Kluyveromyces lactis: one gene and its partner. The protein of the gene in region 1 purifies or fractionates together with the protein of each later gene. This does not show direct contact. Links are inferred from orthologs where the notes say so. Each region holds a gene or a part of one and is shown in the gene's direction. Other genes may lie near its edges.

Region 1 (3,192 bases):
TGGAATTGGATTCAGACGCTAAATAATCTTTTACGGTAAGTGATCCAAGGGCGAGAACGTTATGAATAATTTGTTGTGCGATGTTGACCAAGTGTTGCTCCTCATCCTGGTTGAAATATTGAACAATTCTGTCGCTGATGTCACCCGCATATAACATAAGGAACAAACCTTCTTCGTTAAAGTAGTAATAAAGGGTCTTACGACCAGAGAGTGAGGTTTCTTCCAAATATTGTACGCATCTTAATTGAATCAAACTGACCAAAACGGTTTTAATACTGGACAACGAAAGTTCTGGTATGAAAGAATGAATTTCTCTCGTGGAGAGTCTTCCTTTGTTGACCAACACGGATAGAACAGTACTGGCTCTTTCACCAAGATGGGATCTGGCAAGTTCAGAGTATAAAAACGAATCTGGGTTAAGAGTTCTCTGCTCTAATGAAGAGATATCGATTGGTTCTGGTGATGTGGATGTGGATGGTTCTGCGGCTGATACAACACTTGCACCACCATTTGGAACAGCCGCATCGGGGATCAGGGCAGCTTGGGCAGCACTCATGTCAGTGCTTGCAATAACAATTGTTTATTTTCCTACCTTTTCTACAGTCGAGCCACCTTGTTGCAGTAGTCATGCATGTATGCGATGAGATGAGATGAGATCAATTCAATTGATAGATTTTTTTTTTCTTTCAATACGAATGGATGGGTCTTTCAAGAAGATCGAAAGAAACAGGCAACATTATTGTAAGTCACGTGGTCACAACCACGTGACTTTTGTGTTTCTGTGTCACGTGACATCTCATCACTCACGAACCAATCATTTCTAAGAACCGTGTCCAACCATTTTTTCTTCAAATGGTTTACCAATACCCTTTCACAGTGCATTACGCGATTCCTGTCTGTTCCCTCTCACTCCCAGTACGTTCCGCTAAAACCCGATATCCCCTTCTTACTGTGACTCCAAGATGGTCTAAGCACGCTTCTCCTTTCTACAGAATCAGCTCGCTTCTTCTCTGATTCCTCTGTAGAGATCAGTCTTCACATCTCGAAATATCTTTTTTTTTTCAATTTTTTTTTTTTTTGTTAGTTATTGGATTTTATCGCATATAGCTTTATTCAATAGGTTCTTGAAAAATTTATAACAAAATATGACAATTCTACTTCAAAGTTTAGAGCTTTTTGTTTGAAGATTGGTTTTGATTACAGGTTTTGTAAAGATTTGTGATTGATATACTATTTTGATTACTTTGTTTTACTCGTTACTCTGTCAGTGTACTTTTTTTGCTCTGTTTCGATACTTATTTTGTGTGTGAGTAAATATTATTTGAGTTTGGACATTAAAGGAAAAGTAGAGGAAGACCTTTTGATTAACGCATAATTGATATTGATATTGATTGATATTCTGACTCCCAAAATTAAAAAGCCCATAAACATATAATATAAAGATGTTGTCCAGTAGATTACAATTTGCCCAGCAAACTGCTAGAAAATTCAGTATTTCCGCTAAAGACGGTTCCGGTAAACTATCCACTTTGGCTGTTAAGGTTCACGGTGGTTCTCGTTACGCCGACAAAGAAGGTATTGCCCACCTTTTGTCCAGATTCAACTTCCATAACACCGGTAACAAGTCTGCTTTGAGATTGGTTAGAGAAAGTGAATTGTTGGGTGGTAAGTTCGAATCCAGTGTTGACAGAGAATACATCACTTTGAAGGCTACTTTCTTGAAGGAAGATCTTCCATACTTCGTTAACGCTTTGGGTAACGTTTTGTACAAGACCAGTTTCAGACCCCACGAATTACCAGAATCTGTCTTGCCAGCTGCTAAGTACGACATTTCCGTTTCTGAAACTAACCCAATCAACAAGGCCGAAGACTTACTTTACAATGTCTCTTTCAGAAAGGACTTAGGTAACACAGTTCTATACAGAGGTGTCGAGAAGGTCACCTTGGATGATATCAAGGCTTATGCCAACAAGGTCTACACCAAGGAAAACATTGAAATTGTTGGTCAAGGTGTCAACGAAGCTGACTTGAAGAGATTTGTCAACGACTCTTTGATTGGTTCTTTACCAACTGGCTCCAAGTTGGCTGCTCAAGCTCAACCAAAGTTCTTCTCCGGTGAAGCCAGATTAAGTGCTCCAGGTGCCTCCGTTGCCGCTATCGCTGTTCCAGTTACTAAGGAACAGTTCGCTACCTACGAAGTCTTGGCTAAGTACCTAACCTCTGCTTTGTCCGAATTGTCTCCATTAATTGACTCAGCTAAGTTAGACAAGTACGCTAATGCCGGCTTGTTCTCTTTATACGTCAAGGGTGAGGATGCTTCTGTCGTTGCTGAAAACATAAAGAAGGTCGTTGATACCTTGAAGAAGGATGTCGACATTTCAGCTGCTAAGGAATACACTGCCTTGCAATTATCTTTGGAAAACGCTCCAATCGATGTCTCTAATGTCAAGAATGTCAAGTTGGACAAATTCTCTTACGCCGCTGTAGGTAACGTCGCTAAGCTACCTTTCGCTGATGAATTGTAAATTTCATCACAGTTAAAAATAACTCACAGATTTTAACCTTTCTCCTACTAGCCAAAGTTACACACATAGTACTTTAAAACTGAAAAAAAAACAACAAACAAACACACATATTCATGAGAGATGACAGAATCACATCACTGAAATGTTTAGAAACGATATTACATTTCTATTGTACATATTTTTTATTATCTTTTACCTTTCGTGGCTTTTGGAAACATTGCAACCTAAAAGAAACCAATAAAATTCAAAAACAAAACTCTCTAAGATTCAAAAGAACACCTTTAACCTTTGGAAAAACTGGTGATGTTAAAAGAGAACCCGTCAATATCTTAATCTTTTGAAATGTGCAGAAGCCACTGATCAAATTCAACAGTTCTGTTGATTCATACAATCCCCATCACTGCTCTTAAGAAAAACAATCAAACAGAGGTTGTGGTGATATTGCAAGAACGTTGGTTTAATACGTAGTGTGTCTTCTTGCCGAACCTATTTTTATTTTCACATATCATCTTAGAAACTTATCACTTATTTATTGAAGTATATATCTCTGAACAAATATCAGTTAACATATTATTGAGAACTAGCAAGTGGAAAGAATATCATAGATTACAGACAGAATAAAAAATAATAAATGATACATTTGGATAATTACTACAATTGACGTTCT
Region 2 (1,982 bases), on another chromosome or scaffold:
CATGGGTGAAGACCAAAAGACGATCCCGACGTTATGGGAACATACGTATAAGTATTTTTTCGAAATGCACCCTGAACTTGTCAGCAAACGAAACAACTTCAAATTCATCTCGGACGATGACGGAGCCACGTATAACGGATGTCATTTTTGGACTAACTTTGAGATTGCCCATTTAAAGATATTCAAAGACCCGAGTTATGGGTACGAATCTTATTTCCAATATTTGGACTCACTTGGTGGGTTTTTCTACGAACGTTGGGGCGATGCTCCGGTTCATACGCTTGCATTTAGTTTGTTACTAGACGTTGACCAAATCCATTTTGTACCCGATACAGGGTACGCACACAATCCAAATCAAGATTGTCCAAGAGATAACCCGTTGAAAGAAATATTGAGATGCAATTGCCAAGCCTCAAAAGATTTCACGTGGCATCGTTGGAGTTGCGTCAGTAAGTTCTTTGATGTGAATGGACTGCAGAGGCCAGATACCTTATCACAAGTGAAGAAACACTACTCATATTTATTACCAGAAAATAAGAATATGGACAGGACACAGCCTATGACAACAGAACTCAAATAATTGGATAATTAACAGTCCCTGATTGCCAAGTGTGTCTGTCCTTATCCTTGTTCTACTAGTTAACCGATACAGATATGTAATCATGGTACCCAAATTTCCTATTTGCACGTGACCTACAACCAATCATCTCACTGTCCACGTCGTTCACAATGACATCAACACTATATGATAAAAAAGATAAAAAAGCTTCAATTCAATTAACTGGAGCATTATACCTTTACTATGGGATGTGCTTTTGGTCAACGTTGCAGATATCTATTTTAGAGCTGAAAAACACCAGTATACTTATTCCAAAATGGTTGCTGTATGTGTAGACATGTGTCTGGAATGTGGTTAATGTTTTGAAAGAGACTTTAGAGATGGAGTAGATCAAAACTCATAACTGAATTATCCAGATTTTTTTAGGTATACCGATATCTCCAGACCTTAAAGGTAAGGTTATGAGTACCTTTAGGAAGGATCTTTCATATACCTGATGTATCTTGGGCAAATATAAGCCCTTTGAAGACTGTTTTTTTACTAACATTTCATGTGTCAAGGGATATTTCCCTAAACAATTATCTTCATCAGTACGTTTCTAAACTATCAGCAAAGACTGCTGCTCACTTCGGTAGAATCACTTTTGAAAACTTGAAGAGTTACGCTCCAAACTTGGCTCTTTGGGGTGGTGCTTCTACTTTCGGTTTATTCGTGTTCACCGATGGCTGGCCAACTTTCCAAGATGCCTTCTACAGAAAGATCCCATACTTCGGTGACCACTGGGTTAAGGTTGTTGCTCCAGAAGACAGTCCTCAATAATTGATTATGCGTTATACGTATGATATTTTTTTGAACTTTCGTCATTGCAGGTTGCTTTCTCTCTAGATATGCTTAACGAGAGGAAGCATATTCTCAATCCCAAAGCCTAGAAGTAAGGAATTAAAATATTCTTCTGAGCACCATTATTATTATTTATTTTATGAAATAAACCCTCGAAAGAACGTTACTTTCGAAAAAGCACTTCAATTACACATTATTCATATAAATAGGACCCATCCTTTTACTAAACGTATATAAGTAAAGAGATATAAATTGTTTTATGTCAAAAGAAAACGGATTGGAATTGGTCGTTATTCATTATTTGCTACAAACTAATATACGTTGGGACATAATCATTACAGCTTACGCTCTCTGACACACAAAGCCAGAATTATAACTTTGATTTACCGATCAATTTAATGGCAGAATTGTCCAATACGATCTTACCAGTATTCAAATCAGTAGTTTGGAAAATGACAACATCGTTCTTCTTCCATGCTTTTACCTTTAATCTGTCTCCAGGGAAAACAACATTAGTGAATCTTGCCTTTAATTCATCGAATGGACCATACTTTTCAAATAGTTCCTTGGCACTCACACCAAG

The links.
Region 2: the proteins of QCR2 (region 1) and QCR10 purify together in Saccharomyces cerevisiae (affinity purification with western blotting; 4 studies listed by BioGRID, with this or other methods). This does not show direct contact. The link is inferred for Kluyveromyces lactis from reciprocal best matches to the Saccharomyces cerevisiae genes QCR2 and QCR10.

Annotation. Positions count from the first base shown.
Region 1 is NC_006038.1:323,094-326,285, forward strand, and holds QCR2 (ubiquinol--cytochrome-c reductase subunit 2), read left to right. Parts: upstream 1-1,442; coding exon 1,443-2,525; downstream 2,526-3,192. Other genes in the region: RPC82 (DNA-directed RNA polymerase III subunit C82), read right to left, coding at 1-556. UniProt on the Saccharomyces cerevisiae protein: Component of the ubiquinol-cytochrome c oxidoreductase, a multisubunit transmembrane complex that is part of the mitochondrial electron transport chain which drives oxidative phosphorylation.
Region 2 is NC_006041.1:1,221,887-1,223,868, reverse strand, and holds QCR10 (ubiquinol--cytochrome-c reductase subunit 10), read left to right. Parts: upstream 1-875; coding exon 876-884; intron 885-1,150; coding exon 1,151-1,378; downstream 1,379-1,982. Other genes in the region: KLLA0_E13861g (glycosyltransferase family 15 protein), read left to right, coding at 1-580; bifunctional hydroxyacyl-CoA dehydrogenase/enoyl-CoA hydratase FOX2, read right to left, coding at 1,770-1,982.